Regions from separate parts of the Mus musculus genome. Here regions 1, 2, 3, 5 and 6 are each reported to be linked to region 4. Evidence: microRNA targets listed by miRTarBase, many of them from high-throughput screens and not tested one by one. Region 4 holds a microRNA gene; each other region holds the end of a gene's coding sequence.

Region 1 (4,087 bases), not on the chromosome of region 4:
TCCCAGGATTCAGGAGGCAGAGGCAAGTGGATCTCTGCATTCAAGGCTAGCCTGGTCTACAGAGTGAGTTCCATGACAACCCAGGACTAAACCCTGTCTTGACACCCTCCGCACCCCCAAAAAAGTTATTTTCAGAGCTAAAAGCTATACATTTCTCATCATGTTCACTTTGTATTTTACATCACAGGGTTAGACAGACTGGTATGTCTTGTCACGGGAGCACCCAGCATCAGAGATGTCATAGCCTTCCCTAAATCCTACCGAGGACAGGACCTTATGAGCAATGCTCCAGACTCCGTGTCTCCAGAAGAGCTGAAGCCTTACCATATCCACGTCTTGTGGCCAGCAGACTCAGAAGAGGAGAGTGCATCCGCCACACCTTCCAAACACTTGAGCTCTTAACTTTTGTCTTCTCTGCTTCACCAAACTTAAATTAAGATCCAGACCTGCCACAGACTTTAGAACCAAATGTCTGTGTAGAAGCAATCATTACCGAGTAAGAAAGAGAAGCTACACAATTGTGACTTGGTCATGTGTACCATTAGGACTGTCTGTGGAAGTTTTTTAATTGGAAAATTGTCAAATGAAACAAACAAACAAAAAAATCTCTTTATTGAGTATTTAGAGTCTTCCTGTTTTCCAAGCATGTTTCTATACCCAGATAAGTTATTTAGAATAAGGATAATACAACATGGTTGCCTCTGTACACTGGCCAGTTAATGCAGCAAGGTTTCAGTTCATCTAGCCTCATTAGAACCATAAATTAAACTTTGTGGTAATCTTTCAGCCATCAATATAATGTTCTAAGTAGTATAGTAGGATCAAAAAAAAAAATTACAAGTAACAGAATTCTATTGTGTTGTACCTTAAGCAAGCTACAAATGTCTCTTAGCTGCCCCAGCTGCTTATATAATGTGAATGACACTTGTCCTGGCTGTCTCACAGATCTCTTGTTGCCAGAATCATGAGGTTACATTTGTGGCAGATATGTGATTTGAAATACTGTAAAACAGGACTGAAATGCAGCTGTCCTAACCACTGTTCTATTGCTGTGAGGAGACACCACAACCAAAGCAACTCTTTATAAAGCATTTAGTTGGTGCTGGTTTATAGTTTTAGCTGTAAGCATGGTGGCAAACACAGACATGATATAGAAGTAGCTGAGAGTTCTACATCCTGACCTGCTGTTGCTGGAAGACTGGGCCTGGCACAGAATTATTTGCTTTCTTATGGCTTTTCAAGACAGTTTTCCTGGCATGGGCTCTTTTTTATGGTTTTTTTTTGTTTGCCTGTTTTCGAGACAGGGTTTTTCTGTGTAGCCCTGACTGTCCTGGAACTCACTCTGTAGACCAGACTGGCCTTGAACTCAAATCCGCCTGCCTCTGCCTCCTAAGTGCTGGGATTAGCATGTGCCACCACTGCCTGTGGTTCTTGTTTATGGTTTTTCAAGACAGGATTACTCTCTGTAGCCCTGAAACTTGCTTACTTAAAGGCTTTCAAAAATCAGTTTCTCTGTGTAGCCCTGCATGTCCTGAACTCTTTCCTGTAGACCAAGCTGGCCTCAAACTTCTGGGGATCTGCTGCTTCTGCCTCCCTGGTGCTGGGACTAAAGGCATGGGTTCTTGACAGTTTTAAAGCCTCCAGTCACAAACCTAATCCTTTCTAAAAAATGTCACTCTAGTAGTAAACATTCAAATGAGTTTATCAGCACCCCCTCCCACCCCTAACATCTATTCCTTCTCTGAAAGGGGAAACCACTCCCCTTAACACCCTAAGGCTTCTCTGCCCCCTATCCCCTACACACAAACTCACTGCAGGACTAGGCGATTCCTCGGAGGATGGCAAAGCAGCTGAGACCTGGAAGGACAGTTGTACACAGCTCAGTGGTTCAATCACCAGTATCATACACAATCTAAAGGCCTAATGAGGCAGTGCTAAGGGTGCTGAAGTGGAAGGAGGCAGATGACTCCCTACTTGATCAGAGGCTGGTAGATCTGAGCTAAGGGCGTGACTGTAGAGATCCAGTGAATGAAACCCTGACCTTGTGTTCTGGAAGAAGGAACCATGGGTGTCTTAAAACAGACCAGTAACTCCCAGCTGGTCCTAGTAAGCACAGACCTTTGATCCTAGGCAGATCCAAGTTTGAGACCAGCCTGATCTACATGGAAATCCCATCAAGGCAACCTGCCTCCAAGAGACCAGCCAGGCAAGATGACTGGATAGCTGGATTCCACATTGTGAAAGGAAGACTTGTGTAGGTCATCCTGACCTCTTCACATGCATTACCATACAAATGGACCACTAACAGTAAAGGTATGTGACTAGCATGTGAAAAATTTAAATCCTCACAACCCAAGAATGTGATGGAATTTAAATCCATTTCAGTAAGACTATGTGTAGAATATAAATCACCAAATGAGATGTTTAGCTATGTGTTCCAGGGTAACTGTTGAGCATTGAAACACTGCCCCCATTCCCAGGGACTAAAGCTTGTAGAGGTACAGCTCCAAATACCTACACATTTTGCCTGGAACCAGTGTTCTAAGGACCCCTGACCAGTTACCTATACTATCTACAGCCAAAGGACTAAACAAAATAGCCTCAACTTTTCCTTTGGGGCCACCACACCCAGCACGAATCCCAAACTGTACTTGTTAGATTAAGGATTGTAGTTTCCGTGGTCTCAAGAACTGAGCCCAACAGACCAGAGTGAACAGTATCAAACCTAAGAGCCAATTAGCCTCAGTGTTCCTCCTAATTTAGGAATGCTGAGTTAGGCCTGGTGGTATATATAACTGCAAAAGTCCTAGGCATGGGGACAACACTTTAACAGGACTGCAAGGTCTAGGCTTTTACCTTCCAGGTTTATACTTCAAATTTTCCCTCACACCTGTGCCCCTACAGGCCATCTCCAGACCTTTAAAGGGCTGGTATACCCACTCAGACTGCATAACTGATTAGACATTCAGGATGTAAGACTCAGCAGACACTGTCACCTGCCAAAAGTGAAAATACCACCTCCACCAGTCAGTCCAGTTCTGGTTAACGCTGTTCCTATTAATTTAAAATGTCAAACAGAATAATGGCTTGAGGCTGGTGAGATGGCTCAGTGTGTAAGAGCACACTTCTCTTTTGGTTCATCTTAGATTGTGTTGAGAAAGGAAAGAGAAAAAAAAACTATTTCCAGGCAAACTGATTTGTGACTGTACTCCCCTTTGCATACTCCATGAAATATTTAGTTTTATAAGATATAAGAAAAGTGTTCTAGGGCTGGAGAGATGTACTAACTGCTCTTCCGAAGGTCCAGAGTTCAAATCCCAGCAACCACATGGTGGCTCACAACCATTTGTAACAAGATCTGATGCCCTCTTCTGGAGTGTCTGAAGACAGCTACAGTGTACTTACATATAATAAATAAAAAAATCTTAAAAAAAAATAATGGCTTGTGCTTATAAGCACAAAAAGACAAACTATACTGACACCAATACCATCCAGTCACTGGGCAGCTAATAGATTTAAAAATGTCTAATGTGAACTCCCCACAATGTGCTCATCAGAACAAAATGCACACTTCACAGTTCATGTTATAATACACTTTAATGGTAAAATTTTAACACAATATATCTGACACCATCTTCTATTTGAGCCTCCATCCAGGCACCTGCAACAACCAACAGAAGGTAGCTGTTAAACACTTTTCTACAATTTTAACTTAAATGGTAACTGTTAAAACACAGAACATCAGATCTTTTACTATCATCAAGTAATCAGTGAGAGAGTTCAAGTTGTGTGAGATCATCATGTATTCTGGAGTAGGTTCCCGGTTAAGCATTTGCAGTTCTCACCTCAGAAACAAAGGTGCAGTCACTGCATGTCCACTTGTCACAGGAGCCCTAAGAAAACAAAGACTGACTTACTTCTCTGGCTTAGAGTAGTTAAATTTTACATGTTAGTATAGTAACCTCAGAAATAAAATGGAACGGTTTAAAGGTGATATCACTTTGTATCATTTGGCAGAATCATCACATCACTGGTTACAAGCTATATTACAATCTGTACAAAAACAAGTGACAGACTTACTTTGAAA
Region 2 (4,087 bases), not on the chromosome of region 4:
GCCTCAACTATTGAGAGCTATTCCAATAGGCAATGAATTTTCATGTATAGTATTTGAGACACATTGTGACTGCTAATAATTAGCTTCCTTATCCATATAAACATGGAGATTCATAAAGCCACAGTCCTTCAAATATATGAGTCATATTGCTTGAAGTCTTTATTGACTATGCAGAATCAAGTGTGTTCAGTCCCTAACCAATGAAAGAAAAAGGAAAATTATTAAAAGTTGCTAGCCGTAGTGTATTAAAGTCTAATTAGTTAGGTAGATTTAAATACGCATGATAGCCTGATGCCAAAATTCACCCATGATTGGTATATTTAATAAAACAGACTATATATATGCTGAGAGGGCCTTTGGACTTCAACATCTGAGTGGAGAAAATACTTCTGGAGGGCAGCCGGGACCCGTTAAGAGTAAAATTCAGTGTCTCAGAATGAGCCGCTGATAGACTGAGGCAGAAAGAGTGCGTCCGGACAGTAGCCTGTAATGTAGGCAGTCACGGCCGGAGTTAGAGCATAAGGCACAGCAGCCCCTAGCACAGCTTAATACTCTGAGGTTGAGTAATCAGGAACTGGGAGCAGCTCAGTGATATTCAGATATACTTGAAGCCATAGTCTTTCTGATATTTTAAAATTAAGTTTCAATAATCGATCTCATTATCTGCATTTCTTCATTAGCTTCATGTCTGTGTGTGTTAGTCCTAAGAAAATTCAGTGAAATACTCTAATGTTCAAAGTAACCAACAAAATGCTTCTTTGTAGGGAGTGTTTAAAAGAGAAGACGATGTTGACATGCTTGGTGAAGAGTTCAGGAAGGCCTATCAGAAAAGGGATGGAGTCTGAAGCCGAGTCTTCATAGCAAGGCCGGGCGAGACCTGGAGTGCTCAGATGCTGCCACTAGATGTCAGCGTAACTGCTGTTTTACAGTTGGTGACAGTAGGCCCTGGTCTATCTGCATGTTCTAAAACATCCTCCTATTTCATCATGTATACAGTTTGACAAAAATTAAACACATTAGTACTTTAACTGCAGAATTAGTCATTTTTATTTACTATGCATTCTATGATGCCATCATATCACAGAATTCCACAGAACCAGAGGCCAAACACAGCAGCTCACTACAGGGAGACGACAGACCTCTCTGGGCAGTATGTAAGACACTTTTCTAATTCATAAACATTAAACAGCTATTTACTTCTCTCAAGTTTCTGTCATCAATATTTTGTAGTTTTCAATACAGCCATCTTCAATCTCCTTGGTAAAATTTAGTCTAAAATGTTTTTGTTAGATACTACAAATGGGGTACTGTAGATTTTCTCTGATATTCTGCCACTGATGTATAAAAATGCCACTACTTTGGCTTGTGCTATGCTAGGGACTGGATCTGGGGTCTCATACATGTTCTGTAAGTGCTCTGCCACTGAGCTACAGCTCAAGGCTTTCATTTGTGCTGTCAGTCTCCTGATGTGTGCCTATTGGTTTTCTTACCTTGTAACTTTACTCAGTTGATTTGATCTCAACCATTTTTCATAATGGACAACCCAACTTCTTTGTTCCCAGACTTCATATTTTTCTTTCTCTTGCTGGTTATATTTGATTAGCATTTCTGCTAAGATTAAAAAAATATTTTACGAGCCGGGCGTGGTGGCGCACTCAGGAGGCAGAGGCAGGCGGATTTCTGAGTTCGAGGCCAGCCTGGTCTACAGAGCGAGTTCCAGGACAGCCAGGGCTACACAGAGAAACCCTGTCTCGAAAAACCAAAAAAAAAAAAAAAAAATTTTACATGTGCTTGCCTGCATATATGTGTACTAGATGTCTGCAGAGCTCAAGAATGCCTCAAGACGGTGTCCTAGCCTCTGGAACTGGAGTTACAGATGACTGGGACCATACGCACGGTGGGAACCAAACCTGGGTTCTCTGCAAGAGCAACTAGTGCTCTTTTGGGGAGGTTTTGGAGAGGGTGGAAACAGAGTTTCACTGTGTGGGCCTGGCTGTCCAGGCTAACCTCGAACTCACAGAAATCTTCCTGCTTCTACCTCCTGAGTGCTGGGATTAAAGGCGTGTGCTCTCTGCCTAGCCATTGCTCTTAACTGTCTGATTTCAGGTCTTATAGGGATGGGCAACCTGGGATGTGATTAATGCAGACCACTACAAATAGCAAACTTAAAATGTTATACAAAATTCATTTTTTTAATTTGTAATTCTGTTGCATAGTCTTTCAGTATGAACTCTGAAGATCACAATATCATGTCACAATATAAAAGGATTGGATACACAAATACGTGGGGCTAAGCTTCAGCTTTTCCCTGTTCAGTGTGTTGGCTGTGGGTTTGTCACATATGACTCACGTTACAGCACATTCCTTCTGTAACCTACTTTGCTGACAGTTTTGTCATGAAGTGTTGCTCAGTCTTGGGCTTTTCTCTCTACTGAATTTACAAACCTTTTCTTCATTCTGTCAGTGTGACATGCTTACTGATTTGAATGTCAAATCATCTAGGTTGAATCCCACTGCATCGTGATGAGGGATCTTTTGATGTATAGAAGTTGTTTGCTGGTGTTCTGGGGAGCATTTCTGCATCTGAGTTGATCAGAGATACTGGACTATGGGAGTTGTTGGCTTGGTTTTGTTTGTTGCTCTTGCATGATTTCGGTATCAGGATGAGCATACTTGAATGTGGAAATGTCTTTATGTCACTGTTTTGGAATAGTTTGAGAAGAACTGCCAATCTTTAAATGTTTGGTAGAAGCTGGCAGTGAAGCCGTCAGGTCCTGTGTTTTTCTTTGAGGAGATTTATTTTTTTAAATATTTATTTTTATTTTATGTGTATCCCTGAGTGCATGTCTATGTATCCCGTTTGTGCAGAGGTCAATGGAGGCCAGAAAAGGGCCTTGAACCCCTAGAGCTGGAGTTAAAGGTGGCTGTGAGCAGCCCTGTGGGTGCTGGGAACTGAATTTGGGTCCTCTGCAATAGCAGCAATGCCCTCCGTAACCACTGTGCCATCACACCAGCTCCCAATAGAGCTTTTTATTATGGATTTGATCTACTTGATCTCCCTTCTTACTATGGGTGTGTCCAGGTTTTTCTATCTTAGTTAATTCTTGGTAGTATATCTCCAGAAATTAAACATTCTGTGTTATCCAAATTGTTCATAATCACTTATACTTATGATCCTTTGGTACAGTAAGTGTGTCCCTGTTTCCATCTCTATTTTGTCTCCTGTGTGCACAACCACTGAACAAGAGAACACACACATAGCCCCTGCACAACAGCCTCTGGTCCCAGCCTGCATCACTGCTGTTGGATGCAGCAGCCGTGCACAGCACACAGGCCTGCAGCAGACTCAGCAGCTGCAGCTGGGGATCTCCAGAATCTTGCCCTGCCATCTTCTCTGTCCTCTCCCAGGTCTAGTAGGTCATAAAAGATAATTAAGAGTCGAAGTCTTGCTTCCTTATTTCATAACTACTAATGAAAAAGGAAGTCAGGCCAGAGTTGCCGTCTGGCTTTGTCTTCCAACATCCTCCCAAACATTCTGTTTATTTCACCAGGTCATTATCTAACTCTTTTATTTCACAAATGTTCTTATTACTCATGAACAGCAAGAAGACTACACTTGATATCAAATGAGCATCCCATTGCAGTTGCTCACTCATGAACTGCCCCACTCAAGAGCCTTCATAAACTCCTCCTCGCTGAAAGACAGCATCTTGGCAGCTTCAATATGCATCTGTTTTTAAAAAATATATATTGTTCAATTTAGAGATGGACACACAACAAAAGAAAATTTGTTTGTGTTAATATGCTATCAAAAAAATAAGCTATTGTTGGATTATACATACTAACCATGCAAGTGTAACACTTTAAATTGATATTACATGAAGACCAAGCTACTGTTAAAAGAATAATTTGATATCATTATACCTGATCTTTGTAACGAGAGAGGGCTGTGAATTGTCTTTTTTCATGTTTCAAGAAAGATACAATGTGTTTTAGAATTACTGCTCAAAGTTTGAAGAGGAAATTAATCCACTAAAATTAGTCATTCTCATGAATGGTACTTTCTGTAGTTGGGAGGGAATATATA
Region 3 (4,087 bases), not on the chromosome of region 4:
AGTTGATTTTTGTTTTGTTTTGTTTTGTTATTGAAAGGGGGTCTCACTGTGCAGGTCTGGCTAGCCTTGTGCTTCCTGCCTCTGCTTCCCAAGGTCACCTGTCTTCCTAGTGTTTTTCTCTTTGCATCCCTCTGAGGAGGCCAGTGGCATCCAGCCAGCCATCTTCACCCCTTCTCATCTCTCCCATCCCTGCAGCCAGGCGGTCACATCGGATGCGTAGACACCACCACCATCCACACCGACATCACAAGCCTCGCAAGGAGCACAGAAAACACAAGAGACACCCAGCGGAAGACTGGGAGAAAGACGAAGGGGATTTCTGCTAAAGATCCAGGCTAATCAAGCACAAGCCCCCACACCTTCTCCAGAGTGTTTCCTTGGGGACCCAGAACCCAGCATCCACCAGAGAGGGTGGGGACACTGCAGAGCCCCACACCCCTGCGGTAGGTCCTCTGTTACTGAGGTCCTCCTGGAAGGGGTGGCTGAGCCTGAGAGGCCATGCTGGTCTGGCTGAGCCTCTAGGTCACTTCCCAGCCATTAAAGGGGGTCCTGAAGTCTGCATCCACAAGGGGCAACAGTATGTCTGTGTGTGCTGGGGAGTGGCTTTCGCACCAGAGATTCAGGCTTAGGAAACAGTGGACCATCCTGAATCTATGGTGAAGGTTTGGCTAAAGTCACTGTATCTGAGTGGAGGACCAGCAGAGCAAACATGATGGCCTGCCATCTCCTGGGATCCCCCAAGGGTGACTTCCACTCCTCTGGTTTTCTTTTTTTTTCCCCTTTCTTCTTCCTCCCTCCCAATTCCAACACCTCCAACCCCCAAACTAGGCTGGCCTCGAACTCACTATTGTAGAAAGATGTCCTTGAAGTCTCAATCCTCCTGCCTCTGCACCACCATGCCTACCTGGTTTATTTGGTGCTGGACATGGCACCTAGTACTGAGCAGGGCTCTCTCTGCTAACCAGCCCTAGTCTTTGGTCTTGGTTCAGACCACTAAATCTAGTGTGGAACTCTTATATACTGATTTTAGTGATGTCTCTTAGAGCCACTGGCCTCCTTGGCTTCCTAGGGGAGGTTACTCCGAGCGATGGGGGTGGGGAGGGCTAGTGTCTTGCTGACTCCCCAGGTCTAGTGCAGTGCTAAGATCTGGTGGTTCTGTTTTGGGTTGTTTTTGTTTTGAGACAGGGCCTCACTGTGCGGCCCTGGCTGGCCTGGAACTTGCTATATAGACCAGGCTAACCTGGAACTCAGCGAACTGTCTGCCCAGCCTTCTTTGGTTTTATTGACGTAAGATCTCCAGAGCCTAGGCTGGGTTTCAGGCCACAGCAATCATCCTTTCTCAACCACCTGAAGGTGACAGGCATACGCCGTCGTGTGTGGCAGTTTCGTGGCTTTGTGATGAAAAATCTCCCACACCCGTGTGCACAGAAGTGAGATCAGTGGAGTACAATGTGCTGGATGCTGCTGTATCCTCCCCCTCCATCTCTCAGGGAGACAGACAACCTTCTGCCTGAACCAAGATGGTGCCATGTTTTCTAACCCAGAGCCTGTCTTTTTAGCAGACCTCAATAAATCTCCTGCCTCAGATTCCATCCCTGCCCCACCCCACTTCTGTTTCCACATCCTGCCTGATGGACTTTATGCTTACAGTGTTCATGGTCCTATGGTAGAAAGAAGAATTCTCTTAGAATTAACACACACACATACACACACACACATGCATGTACACACACTAACACACCTTCTCGCCTGGTTTTACATTTTTCTTTTTCTTTTCCTTTTCCCCGTTTCCTTTTCTTTTTTCTTTTTTTTTTTTTTTTTTTTTTTTTTGAAACAGGGTTTCTCTGTGTAGCCCTGGCTGTCCTGGAACTCACTTTGTAGACCAGGCTAGCCTCGCACTCAGAAATCTGCCTGCCGCTGCCTCCCAAGAGCTGGGATTAAAGGTGTGCGCCACCACGCCCGGTTCTACATTTTTCAAAATGTGAAATAATCCACTTTGGATTCCCTCTTCCCATCTACACTCCAGAAAAGACTTCCCAAGCCAGGGACAGGGTCCCTCACAGAGCCCATGCAGTGTGGGTAGAATCTATGAATTTGTGTTAAAGCCACAGTGGAGCCTGAGCTTAGCCCTGTGGGTAAAGATGCTGCATAAGCCTGAAGAAGTCCGTTTAAGCCCTGGGACCCATGTTTTAAAAGTGAAAAGCCAGGTAGGGTGTGAACCCTGGTGCCAGCATCCCTGTGCTGAGACTATAGGAAGCTCATGAGCCAGCTAGCCTGGAGGATCACGGCAAACCCTTAAAGGGTAGCATTTGACCTCCACTGCACACTACAATGTGGGTGATTCTCCAACACACGCACAACCCTCTCCCCCCACACACACTGCACAAGCACAAAATAAATAAGTAAAAATTTCAAAAACTGTAGGATTGGGTGGGTCAGGGCAGGGATGGGTGCACAGGTTCTGGGGTCCATGCCCAGCTCTTCCTAAGTGTTTACTGAGCTGCATTGCTCACAGGAGGTAATGAAAGCCTGGGGCAGTTACTGAATAGAAGCCGTGTAAAGCCTTGTGAGATGCCCTTGAATCCTCTCAGCAGCCCACGTGGTCCTTAGTCTCCCATTTCCACTTGATTGTAAGAGAAAGACAAAGTTACAGACTACGATAGAGGAGCTAGAGCAAGAATTTCCTTCTGTGCGTTATAATTACTGTAAGTGTTGATTTTTTGGACAGGGCCTCAGTCTGGCCTTGAATTCACTCAGTAGCTGAGGATAACCTTAAAGTCCTGATCCTTCTGCCTCAGTTTCCCAAGTACTAAAACGGCAGGTATGCACTATGACTGGTGTATACAATGCTAGGGATGGAACCCAGAGATTTGTGCATACTAAGTAAATGTTCTACACCTGAGCTCCAAGTACTCTGTCAACTGAGCTCCAAGCACTCTGTCAACTGAGCTCCAAGCACTCTTATCTGTGCTTCGAACGCTACCAACTTAGTTCGATTCGCAAACCCTGGTCTTGATTTGTGCTCCAAATTTTGCTTTATGTTTAAGGGAAGAGACCTAAAATCCTTACCTGCTGTCACACACACACACACACACACACACACACACACACACACACACACACACACGAGCAGACTTGGGAAATGGTTGAGAAAAGCAAACTGGACCCTGATCCGTAAAGGTCCCTGTGACTGGGGACAAAGCTTCTTGGTAACATTTTCTAATTCAGAAGGAACCACACCAATCCCCTGCTGGGGATTGAGGGCGAGGCCTGCTGGGGCTCAGAGGTTCTTCCTAGCCCCTGAACTGCCTGCTCCATGGAGGGGCATGCTTTAGGCTTTTCTGGACTGGAGCCTCATCTCCAGCTTTCCCCCTCCCTGGTGTGTCTGCTTGGGCCAGTATGCGGGAGGAGTGTGTATGTGCGAGAATGGCTACAGGTTCTGCTGGGTTTTGTTTTGTTTTTGTTTTTCTGGGAGCTTTGATGTTCCGTGGATCTGTGCTATCTGACACTGTGGATGTTAATGGACTTATTGGACATTTTAATAAAAATTTTTTAACAGTTCAACTTGCCTGTGGCCCCCTCACCCGCCCCTCACCCGCTCACTTGCCTGCTCGTTTACTGAGAGCCTGCATTTCTTTGGAGTGATGACTCACATAGCCCAGACAGGCCCAGAATTCCCTACGCATCTGAGAAGGATCTTGAACTGATCAGTTTCCCATTTGTTTTGTTTTTGAGACAGGGTGTCTCTTTCGACCAGGCTTGCCTGAAACTCTGTGATCTATATGCCTCTGCCTATCCACTGCTGGTTTGTTTTATGGGGTGCTGGGAACTTTACGAATGCTAGGAGAGCGCTTTGTGAACTGAGATACAAACACTCCACTAAGTGAGCCACAGCCATGGGCCCTGAGCCCTTATTAGGAGCCACACACTGTGCCCGGTCAGAGGGAAAGTAGGGTACCGCAGGAGAAATAGAAGGTATCTTTTCTCTTTCTTTCTCTTTCTTTCTCTCTCTTTCTTTCTTCCTTCCTTCCTTTCTTTCTTTCTTTCTTTCTTTCTTTCTTTCTTTCTTTCTTTCTTTCTTTCTTTC
Region 4 (4,087 bases):
CACAACAAGGGTCCTGAGTCACACTGCGTCTCATCTCTCCACGGGTATCACATTCAGCTCCACTCCCCTACCTGGGTCAGAGTAAGTTTCTCTTCCCTATCTTTACATGGTTTCCCACTACACCTGCTTTGTCTTGGACAGACCCCTCCCATCAGGCTGCACTTCCAAGACCCTCTGTGTTCATGTGTTAACATTTCTTATGTCTTATTGCTGGCCTCACACTGAGTCCTCTCCTCTTGTCATCCTGTGTTAGGGTTAGGCTATTGTCAGCCATGTGTCTTAAAGAGAAAATTCCATAATGGGGCACGCTTTGCCTAGCTCCACCCATATGTCCTGAAGAGCACCATTCCTCTACATGTGTCATGCTTAGCCTAACCCTTCCTACGTTCTGTATGCCCCCTCTCACACCTGTCGTGGTCACCTGAGTTCTACCCATGTGTCCTAGAGAGAGAACACCTCTCCCCACGTGTGTCATGCTTAGCCTAGCCCCACCCGTGTGCCCTGTGCACCCGAGCTTCATCCCACTTACTCCCCATTCACCTTAGGCCCCTCCCTGACTCTGAGCTCCTCCATCGTGAGAGGGCCCCTAAATCATGTGTCCCATAGCCCTCGTTCCTTTTAGTCACCACAAACCCTGCTGGTGCTCCAGATGCGGTACACGGAACTCTTCTCCTCTCGCTCTCTCTTCATGTTGGGAAGCCCCACCTCTGCACGCAGCACGTTGAGACATCCACCCCTTGCCTTGTGACATGGAGCGCTCTGCCTCTACACATACCACACTGTGACGTGCATGTCCTCCAGGTCACAAAGCAACTCATAGGTGTCACATCTAGTCCTTCTCCCCACTTGTGATGAACACTTTCCTTGACAGATGTCACACCGAGCCCCTATTTCCTCTATCAGAGCCCCTCCTCCTTATGTCCCACATGCAGCCCAGTCTCTTTCTCAGGAGTCATAGGCTCTCCTGTACAAGAGTCATACTGAGCCCCTCCTCTTTTTATGTGTCATGTTACCCCTCCTCTGCACATCACATTTACATTTTTTCTCCCCTGTACCATGGATTCTCTCCCCCATGTATAGCCTTGGACCACTCCCCATCCGCTAGATTTAATCCCTTAATCTCTCCATATGTTACTGACACCCCCCTGTGTAGGTAGGCATCATGGGATGTCCCTGTTCTTTTCTTTATGACATGAAGACCCCCTCTTTGCGTGGGATATCATATCCTTCATCTCTCCCTTGTGACATACGTCACCCTGAGACCCTCCTGCTTCCCGTGAGCCATGTCCCTATGCTCCCATACACATACATGTCCCTTTGCAACCCTCTTCTGCCCTGGATGATGTGCAGCTGTGTTCCACATGCTGCCCTGAGCCCCCCTTCTCTCTCTCCCCTGCCCCACTGACATCTGCAGCATCTTACCACAGCATTGAGCTGCCTTAACCCTTTGTCATTCACATGTCGTGTGCAGCTCCCTTCCTCCCTGGCTTAACACCGAGTCCTCCCTTCCCCACCTGTGTTCACCTGTCTTCTGGCCTCCCATCCTTACTACTCCCTCCCACCCCCATACTACCTCTTTATACCCTGCTCTCTGAGACTATGCTGGGACAAGTGTTTGTTGGCAGTTGGTGGGTGTGCCAGACAAGGAAGAGAAGAGCACAAGTCAGGAAAGATTTTTTTTTTTTACTTTATTCATATGTAAGGTGATACACATGTGCCATTCAAGCTGGCCATGGTGACAGAGGCCTGTCAATCATAGCCACACTTGGAAGCCTGAGGCAGGAAGATGGAGAAGTCGGGATCCACTCTGGATTACACAGATCCTGTTTCAAAAACAAACAAACAAACAAAAAAACTAACAGGCAAGCAAAAGCAGTTTGTGGTTTTTAGTTATTCATGGAGGAGTGTAACTCAAGTTGACACTCAAAGAACCTGGGGAGCGGTTGTTAGCTGTACCTGCAGTTTGTCCCCTCACCACACTGAGTAGCTTTTAACCCATGCATCTTTTTGGGGGATCCATCTGGGGCGTCTAAGCTCCTGCTGGTTCCCATGAGTCCCTTCTAGGTCTGCAGAGGAACCCACTGGATACTCGGGATGGACCTTAGCAGGACACTCCTGTGACCACAGTCACCCTTCCTTCCCTCTCCGCTTCCCCACCCCTCCTTCAGTGCTCCCTTGCCCCTCCTCTCTCCCTCCCATCCCTCTGCTCCCTCTCCCCCCTCCTCATCCCCTGGATTGGCTCCAGTCACTCCATGAGAGTTTATAAGAAGTGAGGTTGGGCAAGGAGGGTAGATGCTTCCACTGTGCTGCAGGTGCCCTAGGGCTGGCTGGCCTTTGGTTTCCTTCCTCTAACACTAAGCCCTGGGAGTCTGTCCTACCTGTTGTCTGTGCTTCTTGCCTTGCTTTTTCAGGAGAGGAGGGTCCCAGTGTAGTGAGAAGTTGGGGGGTGGGAACGGCGTCATGCAGGAGTTGATTGCACAGCCATTCAGCTCCTATATGATGCCTTTCTTCACCCCCTTCAACCGCGTGAGGCCTCCGGACCCTCCTCCGCGCACCTTGGGCCGCTTAGGGACGCGTCTTCAGCTCGCTCTTTTCCCCTGGCATGCTTTCTCGCCATTCTCCACAGTTCCTGGAGGGGAATACCCGGGGCTGGGCCATACCTGAGATCATTCCTTGGCGGGGGAGCTATACCCCTGGTGGGACATTCCCTGGGGCTGGGCCAAGGGTCACCCTCTGACTCTGTGGCCAAGGGTAGACAGGTCAGAGGTCGATCCTGGGCCTACTCTGGGGCTCCTCCCACTGGGATTCCAGGAGCCGTTCTCTCCTGGAGGTCCTCTGAGGGGACCCAGCTCCTAGCAGAAAGGGTGGATCCTTGAGAGATGGGGTCTTTGTTACTAGAGCAGGGCACAGGGCTGAGACAGGGCAGGGCTGAGCATTACCAGTGCTCCCAGAACAGGGTCTCCTTGAGGGGCCTCTGCCTCTATCCAGGATTATGTTTTTATGACCAGGAGGCTGAGGTCCCTTACAGGCGGCCTCTTACTCTCTCCTTGAGCCCTTCTGGAGACGTCTCACCTCATTCAGTTCAAACTCTGGATCCCCTAAGGAGTGCAGAAGATCCCTGTTCATCCTCCTCCCAGGCCGGGTGCCCACAGACACTTCAGTAGCACAATGAGCAGCTGGCGTAGAGTCTGAACCCCAATACCTAGGTCATTGCATGCATACAGGGCCCATCTCCATCCCCACAACACCACCATTATTAACTGCATTTACCAGCTATGGCAGCCAGCCCCGGCACACAGGAGCACCCTGAGTGAATAGCCTGGAAGCTGTGAAAGGATTTGAGGGCAGGACAGGGAGGACCCAGGCCACACCCAGTCCCCCTCCCCTTCACCACTGTCTCTCCCTTCCCTGTCCCCCCCTCTGCCCCCAATCTCCTTCTTCCTACTTGTGCTCCTGCACGGTCTTGGTGGCAAGATGGTCATGCGTGTCTCTCAGCTCACACAGGTGGATCAAAGTCCAGATGAGGTTTGCTGCTCAGGTCTCAGATCGTGTCTAACGATGTGGTCCCCTGGGCCCAGCACCAGGGCTTAAGGTGTATGGGACAGTTGAGGGGTGGGTAATATTTTCTTTTCCTTTTCTTACTATGGGGGTAGCCCAAGTTAGCCCAGGTTACCCAGGCATGTGGAGATCTCTGCTCCAGCCTGGTGAGGAGCTGGTAAAACTCTGGACTCAGGGTCCTGTGTGTGTGCTGTCACTGGCTCTGGTACCTGCAGGGACATCTTATAAGGGGAAGCAATGGAGAGGACAGGGAAGGTGGGCAAGGGAGGGCCCCTGCTCCTCTTTGTTCCTGGATGCTGTCAGAGCTCTCTGGTTGGGGACTGAAGCTGGGAAGTGGGGGCAGCTCCTTGGTGGGTGGAGTCTGCAGCCAGGGCCTGGCCTCTGGTTTTCACCTTGACAGGGTTGGAAGTGATGTTATCATCCCCTAGCAGGAACTTTCACACCAATTTCTTTCTTTTCTTTTCTCTTCCCCAGGAGAAAAAAAAAGGTTTGTGTTGTGTTTTTCAATCTCTATAAGTGGCTCCGCCGA
Region 5 (4,071 bases), not on the chromosome of region 4:
TCCTGTGGATCTGGCTGGCTGCTGTTTCTAAAACCCCTGGAGGAGGGCAGATTCTCTGAGAGCCGGTGGCACCCTTTTCTCAGAAAGCAAAGAATTTGCCTTCTTGAATGAGGGAACAGTCTTAGTCTTGTAACTGTATTGGTGGTGTCCCATCTGTCTCAGAAACTCTCCTTTGTTCAGGGAGGTAGGCAGAATAGGTTCATTTGCCGGAGTTTTTGTCTGACCTAGATCTGGAATGAACTGATCTCCCTGTCTTCTTTTCTAGGACTATTCCTTCTCCAGCGTGCGTGTGGAAACGCCTCTTCTGCTGGTGGTGAATGGAAAGCCACAGAACTCCAGCAGTCAAGCCTCTGCCACAGTAGCTTCAAGGCCGCAGTGTGAATGACCTTGTAGAGGCAATGAAGTCTCATAGCTAAGCTCACCCTGCGAGTTGGAAATGGGGACTTCTCTTCCCCTGCCCTGGAACATAGTTGAGTCTCTTTCCTTTTCCCTGCTGTATTCCAGCCCTCTTCAGAGCCATTGGGACCCTTGTTTATTCTTCCTGCCTCTTCAAAGGTGCCGACTTAAAGAGCAAAGAACTCATAGAACTGTTGGGACCATGTCATGAGAGACTCAGGACCTAAAGTCCTGAGAGGTTTTGACAGTCCACGAGATCCCTGTTCTCGCCTCCTTCCTGAGTCCAATATGTATGTACATATCAGTTTACTATTTATTGTTGAGGGGGCTCAACTTTCTAATGGCTTCATTTTTGAGCAGTGTTTTTTTTTTTTTTTTTTTAATTTTTATGTTTAAGTTCCGATTGTCTTAAAAAAAAAATGTTCTTTCTCGTCCTTAGGGCTAGAACAAAATTAAATTTGTTTGGAAAAGAATTTACCCTATAGTTCTGTCTCTTTATTGTCTCCAGTTATAGGGATTCTTGGTATTAAGATCTGTAAAGGCTGTTGGAGTGGCACTGCTTTTTTGGGTTTTATACAAAATAGTTTATCTGGAATTAGAGGCAGTTGAGAGTTGCTGGTGTTGGGAAATGAACTTAGATCTTCATGAACAGTATGTATGTATGTACGTATGTATGTATGTATGTATGTATGTATGTATGTATGTATGAGTAGTATGTATGCTGAACCAACTAACAAGGCCTAAAAGTTTTGTTTCTTACTTTGTGTGTATTGTGTGTGTGCAAATGCAGGTGTGAATTCCCAGCTGTGTGAGTGAGGAGGCCAGAGCAGGGTTTGGGGTGAGGTAGGGTCCCTCACTGAACCTGAAGCTTGCTGTTTTGGCTAGGCTGTCTGGCCATCAAGCTCTTGCGGTCCACCTCTTCCTACCCTTTAGTGGTGGAGTCGCAGGCGTATGCAGCTGTGCTGGGTTCCTTACATGGATGCTGGAGACTTAAACCAGGTGCTCATGCTTGAGAGCAAGCGCCCTGAGCCACCGAGCTATTTCCTTGGCACTGCTATGGTTTTGTTTTTTTTTATATTTTAAAAATAAAAATAAAAAAAATATTTTTTTGGTTCAGGTTCTCATTATAGAGCCTTGTACGACGTAGAACTCATTTTGTAGACCAGGCTGGTCTTTGAACTCAAAGATCCACTTGCCTTTGCCTCCTGGGAGCAGATCACCTCTATTAAAGGTGTTGATCACTATGCCTGGTACTGCTGCGGCTTTAAAACAAAAAATTCTATGATAATGTTTGTGTTTATAGCGTGGATAATTTCTTTGAAAAATGGTCTTAATATAGGACAATTTTACTATTTTATTTTGTATGTATGTATGCATGGATGTGCGTGTGCATATATGTATATGTATGTGAGTATATTTGTATGATTGTGGTATATGTGCACACGTATGTATGTGTGCATGGATGTGCGTGTACACATATGTATATGTATGTGAGTATGTTTGTATGAATGTGGTATATGTGCACACGTATGCAGAAGCTCCAGGAAGATGTCAGCTATCCTGTCACCCTTCACCTTATTTCTTCACTAAACCTGGTGGCCTTGAGCAAGTACAAATGATACTCCTGTCTCTGACCTCACAACACGAGAGTCCCCTGAGCATGTGTGGCCATGGCTGGCTTTTTATGTGGGCGCTGGCGATTTGAACACAGGTTTTCATGCTTCAGGTGCAAGCACTCTTAACTCACTGAGCCACCCCTCCAGCCCGTAGTCCACTTCTGGGACAGCAGAAGAGTGGTTTACACATAGTATCAGCTCCAGAATCTGAGAGCCTGGGATCAAATTCAGCTCACATGTGGTCACCATCCCAGGGTAAATGTTTTCTCTCTGTATCTTGGGTAGTGTGTTGAGCATGTGGTGGCTAATTTAAAGTTACAGTAGACCTACAAGGTAAGTAGCATCCTACTTTATAGCTGTGGACGTGAGATTCCCAGGTAATGAAAGATTCTCTCCTTGATCAAGCTGTGGCAGGGCTCCTCTGAGCTATTTTGCAGCCTTGCATTGCAAAAACTGGAATAAACTTATTACTTATCTAGTTTATTCATTGTGTTCTTTTTTTTTAATTAGCATAAAAGGAGTGTGTCTTCATCGTGACAATTTCATGTATTCTTTCTTTCCACTGGGCCTTCCCTTTTAGGCCACTCCATCATCTTCCCCTCTGGTCCTTCCTGTTCTCCTCTGGGTCCCCTTCTTCATAAAACCATTTCTCCTTTCATGTCACACTGTTTTGTTTTTTGAAATTCATTTAACTATGTGTACTTGGGTGTATCAGAGTGTGGGTGTGTGTCTGTGAGAGTAGGTGCCCGTGAAGGCCAGTGGTGGTGGATCCCCTTGGAACCGAAGTTACAGGTGGCTGTAATCTGCCTGGTGTGGATATTGGGAGTCAAACTGTTCTCTACAACCACACGCTGGCCCTCTGCAAGAGCAGCAAGTGCTTCTATCCACTGCTCCATCTCTCCATCTTCTATATCATGTGTATTCTGTGTCTCTCCTGCTCATCCATGCTTCTCTCTTTCCTCAGTCCTTTCCTAGTATGGATATCTGCATTCACACCTCCTCGATTTATGCACATGGCATAAAATACAGAAGCTGCATGGGAAGAAAGAATGGTATCTGGTGTTAAGTAGTCTCCATGAAAGTCCTCTGAGAAAACTGAAGTGCTGTAAGAATGGATTGCTTGTCTGTTTCCCCACACCTGGAGATAAGGCTCCCTGTCTGCCAGCCTCTGGGATGGGAAGGACCTAATTTGATAAGTGCCAGTTAAACCCCAATGAGTTTTATGTGGACCAGCTTTCTTCCTGCTTTCTTCTTGACTGCCGAGCAGCCATCAGATACACCGATCTTTCCCCCTGAACACTCCACGTACCTCCTTTCCATAAGTAGTACAGGCGACTTAGCACAGTAACTTAGCATTTCTTGTTTGACTAGTACCATAAGCCTTTCCCCCTTTAGCTAAAACTTTCTCCAATTCTTTTTTTTTCTTTTTCAGTTTTTTTTTAATTAGGTATTTTCCTCATTTACATTTTCAATGCTATCCCAAAGGTCCCCCATACCCACCCCCCCCAATCCCCTACCCACCCACTCCCCCTTTTTGGCCCTGGCGTTCCCCTGTACTGGGGCATATAAAGTTTGCAAGTCCAATGGGCCTCTCTTTGCAGTGATGGCCGACTAGGCCATCTTTTGATACATATGCAGCTAGAGACAAGAGCTCCCGGGTACTGGTTAGTTCATATTGTTGTTCCACCTATAGGGTTGCAGTTCCCTTTAGCTCCTTGGGTAATTTCTCTAGCTCCTCCATTAGGGACCATGTGACCCATCCAATAGCTGACTATGAGCATCCACTTCTGTGTTTGCTAGGCCCCGGCATAGTCTCACAAGAGAGAGCTATAACTGGGTCCTTTCAGCAAAATCTTGCTAGTGTATGCAATGGTGTCAGCATTTGGAAGCTGATTATGGGATGGATCCCTGCATATGGCAGTCACTAGATGGTCCATCCTTTCGTCACAGCTCCAAATTTTGTCTCTGTAACTCCTTCTATGGGTGTTTTGTTCCCATTTCTAAGAAAGGGTAAAGTGTCCACACTTTGGTCTTCGTTCTTCTTGAATTTCATGCGTTT
Region 6 (4,087 bases), not on the chromosome of region 4:
GAAAGGCACTTAAGGTGAGGAAATGCCTCCATAAGATCCTGCTGTGGGGCATTTTCTCAATTAGTGATCAAGAGTGGAGGGCCCCTTGTGGGTGGTGCCATCCCTGGGCTAGTAGTCTTGGGTTCTATAAGAAAGCAAGCTGAGAAGCAAGCCAGTAAAGAACATCCCTCCATGGCCTCTGCATCAGCTCCTGCTTCCTGCCCTGCTTGAGTTTCAGTCCTGACTTCCTTTGATGATGAACAGCAATGTGGAAAATGCAAGCTGAATCAACCCTTTCCTCCCCAACTTGCTTCTTGGTCATGATGTTTTGTGCAGGAATAGAAACCCTGACTGAGACAGGGTGCTGGCATGATTCCCAGTTGTGCGCATTTGCCAAGAGGTAGTTTAGGAGCTAGAAGGCCGGGAAGATCATTGGAGAGGGTCTTCAACCCACACAAGAGGTAGTGGGCCACATGATAGGAGAGCTCAATCGCTGAGTCTTCTTCTTGGTTTACTAGGTTCCCTCCTAGCACATGAAGCGCGGTCTAGTTTTCCTTCTCTGGGGCTCTGTGTTCTTGCTAGTCCTCCAGAAGTCCTCTGGGAACTGCATCCTCCCCAGCTGTTGGCCAGAAACAGCTGATGGCTACACCTGGTCCTGAGCCACTGCATGCCGACAGTCCCTGTTCTCATCTGTCCTCTCCAGGTCACCATCGTGGTCCTTGGCAACAAGTGTGACCTGCAGGAGCAGCGTCGCGTAGACCCTGACGTGGCCCAGCACTGGGCCAAGTCCGAGAAGGTGAAGCTATGGGAGGTGTCGGTGGCTGACCGACGCTCCCTCCTAGAGCCTTTCATCTACCTGGCCAGCAAGATGACCCAGCCGCAGAGCAAGTCTGCCTTCCCCCTCAGCCGCAAGAACAAGGGCAGCGGCTCCTTGGATGGCTGAATAGCTGCCCTTCTTGCTTCACCATTCCAAGCCCATTCCGGGATGGGTGGCGAGCACAGGGTGCATAAGCAAGCTGTTCTTCCCAGTCGGTAGGGGAGTGACCCTCTAGGACAGGAAGCTGGGCTGGCCCAGGCCAGTGCCACCTTTGTCCTCTCTTAACTCCAAGAAGTGCAAGTGAACTTGATTGTTGGCCCTCCCTTGACCTTCCATAATAGTTCCCACCCCTCCCCCAGCTGACCATATTTTCTCCACTGTCACCTAGACACTTATGGGTTAGTGTCCCTTCCATCTGCCTGGTGCAGGAAGCAGGGCCGTCATGCCAACGCGCCCAGTCCAGGATCTGCCTCCTATCAGGGATCCCAACTCTGAATTTCCTGCCACTAACATACACACAGTACCAGCCTTAAAACAAAAGACTAGGTACTGTAAGCATACATTTGTGCGAGCTGGCTTAGGGTTGGTTCCTCATCCTCCACCCTGACCTTTCCTCTGGCCTGTTCAAGGCCTGGTAAAGTCAGGCTCCTGGGAGTGGCATTTCCTGTTTGACCTCTACCCATCTCCCAGTTGTTTCACTTCCTCTTCCTGTTCCAGGAGCAGAGGTCTTATTGGCTGAGGTAGAGTGGAGTGATGACTGGGCTGTCACATGCCCTGAGACTTAGCAAGACTCTTCTCCCCTGAGCGTCAGTCTTCTCGTATGTGAGTTGACAGAAGCTTGGATGTCACCTAGAGCCACGGGTAGCGCTGTGACTTTTCTAAAGCTGGTGGCTTGGGCCTCCTGTGTGTCTTCTGCCCCTGCTCCACCCTCTTTAAGGTGCTACACCTACCGGCCCTGGAGGCTGGACGGCCTCTCTTAACCACCAGGGGGCAGGGGTGCACTCTGCTCAGTGCTGCGAGCGAGCGGCTGTCTATTAACCTGCCCAACAGGGTAGTGTCCATCCCTCCTGGTTGGTTTTGGCTAGTAGCTGGACTTTATATTTATACTCTCTCTGTATTTATGCACCTGCTGCTCTGGTGAAGGTGGGATAAGCCGCGCCCCCAGCCCTTCTTTCTTACCTCAGATGCCTGAAGAGAACCAGGCAGCCCAGTAGCAGCTTCCCAGGAGCTGACAAGCCTTCCATCAGAGGCTTGTGCTATCAAGTGAGCTTATCACCCACAACCTGCGGTGCCCACTCCGTGCTTCTGATGTGCACACCTCACACGGGTTAAACACTATGGCCAGGCCACCTCCAATACCCTCTCCTCCTCCTAGAACAGGCGAGGGGGGGCTGGTGCCCAGGCCTGGGCAAGGAGAGTCTGGGCACCTACAGGCTCAGGCTTGAAGTTCATTTATTGATGTGTTGGACACAATAAAACCACAACTGCTATTATCAAAAAGTTTCCCGTCCCCTACCCCTTTTCTTGTCCCATTGGAAATATCTTTCAAAAAAAGGGGGATATAGGTGGATCCTGGTGAAATCCCATGTCGAATGGGGGAATGGCACTGGCTTTGGTGACATGAAAGTTGATCTTGAGGGTTTACTGGACCATGTACCAGCCCGAAACGCCACACTTGGGATGGCCAGACCCAGTGTGGAATGGAGAGTCCCTAGGCTGAGGGAGACCCAGAGCCCCTTTAGAGTTGGGGTTCAAGAGAAACCACTGAAAGGCTAAGATAAGAAGAGCTGTAGTGCCGGGTGTGGTGGTGCACGCCTTTAGTCCCAGCACTCGGGAGGCAGAGGCAGGCAGATTTCTGAGTTCGAGGCCAGCCTGGTCTACAAAGTGAGTTCCAGGACAGCCAGGGCTATTGTGTCAAAGCCAGACCAGGCAGGGTGGTGTGTGCCTTTAGTTCCGTTACTTAAGAGGCAGAGGCAGGTAGATTTTTTGAGTTTGCCAGCCTGAGCATACAGTCCCAGACCAGCCAGGATGACACAGTCAGGCCCAGCCTGAACACCACTTTTCCCTTCAAGCCCCACCCCCACGAGCAGATGGCGCGTCATCTCAACTCTGCCTCACTTTCACAGTACATTTTTTAAGAACTTTGGGGCCTCTTATCTCTATGGCCCTTTGCCATACATACCCTGTAGTCTACTTGTGGTTGTTTTGGTGTTTGAGACAGTGTCTAGCTATATGGCTCAAACTGACTTTGAACTCGTAATCCAGGCCCTAGGATTGCAGGAATGCACCACCATACCTGGCTACCCCATGGTAAATATGCCTGATAGGTTCCAGCCCACTTCAGTTTGAGATCCCTGTCTCTAGTGATTGTCCAGACCGCTCTAGAACATGGCAGGAGAGGCTGGCCCTTGGGAGCTAAAATGCTGTCAGCTCTGTGTACGTCTCTAGTTGGGGTCTGGGTATGAGAGCACCATGAGACTGGGGCTGTGGTTTTTGCATAGATCTTTGGGATTTGTTAAATCATAGATGCAGGGCAGCCTAGGGCTGGCCCAGGAAAGGAGGGTAGTGGTGGTCCTCAGAGCCAGGGGACTGGAGAACCCCAGTCTGAGTGAAGGGCAGCTACCCAGGTTGGGTGGGAACCCGGAAACTGCAAAAGGCAGTCTCTGTGGGATGTGGAGACAAGTGTCTGACTGGAAGAGATAGGATGTGGCCATTCTGAGTCCACTAATAGGGAGCAAAAAGGATGGGTCCTGCAGCAGGGCGGACAGCTCCTGCTGGAGAACGAAACAGAGCTGGGCCCAGGACAGGAGCTGGGAAGAGGGTAGCAGCTGCTGTTGCAGCAGGCCGGAGGGTCAGGGGCCCTGGCAGGGCACAGATGGCAGCAGCTGTGGTGGGCAGCGGACCAGGCAGGAAGCGGGCTGCCAGCGTCTTGGTGAGTTGCTTCTGCAAGGCCAATTTAGACTACAATAAAAACAGAAATGGAGAGGGTCTCTGATACCAGAGAAGCCCGCCCCCTCCCTGGGACACATCCAGGAGCCTTTTTGCCTCGGGGACGTGCCTTTTAGAGTTCTAAGTCTAACCTCCTCCCTCCCGCCCCCAAACAGTCATGCCAGGGGGCCTTGCTGTGCCAGCTGTCTTCCTGCCCAGCAGATGGACAGCCTCGGGACGGGCCGCACTGTGAGGGGTAGGAAGAGATGGTCTCTAGGATAAGCACACCCACCCCTGGCTTTTGCCCTTCATATTATGACCTTAGGCCCAGCCCACCCGCAGGAAATTCCTCTGGGTATGGCC

The links. Region 4 holds the annotated microRNA mmu-miR-665-3p (ACCAGGAGGCUGAGGUCCCU, at 3,004-3,023, shown strand). A microRNA usually pairs through its seed, bases 2 to 8, with sites in the 3' UTR of a target mRNA and lowers its output. Matches are read on the target gene's strand: a 7mer-m8 pairs with bases 2 to 8, a 7mer-A1 pairs with bases 2 to 7 and ends in A, and an 8mer does both.
Region 1: miRTarBase lists Dars2 as a target of mmu-miR-665-3p. Seed matches in the 3' UTR shown: 7mer-A1 at 1,329-1,335.
Region 2: the mRNA of Tex9 is a reported target of mmu-miR-665-3p. Seed matches in the 3' UTR shown: 7mer-A1 at 1,716-1,722.
Region 3: the mRNA of Ncan is a reported target of mmu-miR-665-3p. Seed matches in the 3' UTR shown: 8mer at 467-474, 7mer-m8 at 725-731 and 7mer-A1 at 1,862-1,868.
Region 5: miRTarBase lists Ttc5 as a target of mmu-miR-665-3p. The part of its 3' UTR that is shown has no 7-base or 8-base seed match.
Region 6: miRTarBase lists Zfp385c as a target of mmu-miR-665-3p. Seed matches in the 3' UTR shown: 7mer-A1 at 2,687-2,693.

What each region holds. Positions count from the first base shown.
Region 1 is chr1:161,038,031-161,042,117 of GRCm38, reverse strand. Dars2 (aspartyl-tRNA synthetase 2 (mitochondrial)) reads left to right here. Exons shown (of 17, transcript NM_172644.4): 17 at 188-1,517. The coding sequence ends at 402. Gas5 (growth arrest specific 5) reads right to left here. Exons shown (of 11, transcript NR_166052.1): 9 at 4,081-4,087; 10 at 3,846-3,893; 11 at 3,579-3,661. Snord47 (small nucleolar RNA, C/D box 47) reads right to left here and starts at 4,026; the gene lies at 3,962-4,026. It overlaps LOC115487640 (a small nucleolar RNA gene), which reads right to left and starts at 3,810; the gene lies at 3,735-3,810.
Region 2 is chr9:72,457,549-72,461,635 of GRCm38, forward strand. Tex9 (testis expressed gene 9) reads right to left here. Exons shown (of 12, transcript NM_009359.4): 12 at 507-3,730. The coding sequence ends at 3,653. It overlaps Mns1 (meiosis-specific nuclear structural protein 1), which reads left to right. Exons shown (of 10, transcript NM_008613.3): 10 at 765-1,028. The coding sequence ends at 845. Among named protein-coding and RNA genes, the nearest start is that of Mns1, 21 kb to the left of the region's middle.
Region 3 is chr8:70,092,559-70,096,645 of GRCm38, reverse strand. It overlaps Ncan (neurocan), which reads left to right. Exons shown (of 15, transcript NM_007789.3): 15 at 196-3,561. The coding sequence ends at 326. Among named protein-coding and RNA genes, the nearest start is that of Mir7066, 8.0 kb to the left of the region's middle.
Region 4 is chr12:109,583,365-109,587,451 of GRCm38, forward strand. It overlaps Mir665 (microRNA 665), which reads left to right and starts at 2,950; the gene lies at 2,950-3,043. Mir337 (microRNA 337) reads left to right here and starts at 2,425; the gene lies at 2,425-2,521. It overlaps Mir3544 (microRNA 3544), which reads right to left and starts at 2,509; the gene lies at 2,449-2,509. Mir540 (microRNA 540) reads left to right here and starts at 2,716; the gene lies at 2,716-2,782. It also overlaps a transcript of Rtl1 not described here.
Region 5 is chr14:50,762,217-50,766,287 of GRCm38, reverse strand. Ttc5 (tetratricopeptide repeat domain 5) reads left to right here. Exons shown (of 10, transcript NM_001080949.2): 10 at 266-879. The coding sequence ends at 385. Among named protein-coding and RNA genes, the nearest start is that of Olfr749, 20 kb to the right of the region's middle.
Region 6 is chr11:100,625,312-100,629,398 of GRCm38, forward strand. Zfp385c (zinc finger protein 385C) reads right to left here. Exons shown (of 9, transcript NM_001373887.1): 9 at 2,232-3,757. The coding sequence ends at 3,521. Nkiras2 (NFKB inhibitor interacting Ras-like protein 2) reads left to right here. Exons shown (of 4, transcript NM_028024.2): 4 at 683-2,291. The coding sequence ends at 922. Among named protein-coding and RNA genes, the nearest start is that of Nkiras2, 4.4 kb to the left of the region's middle.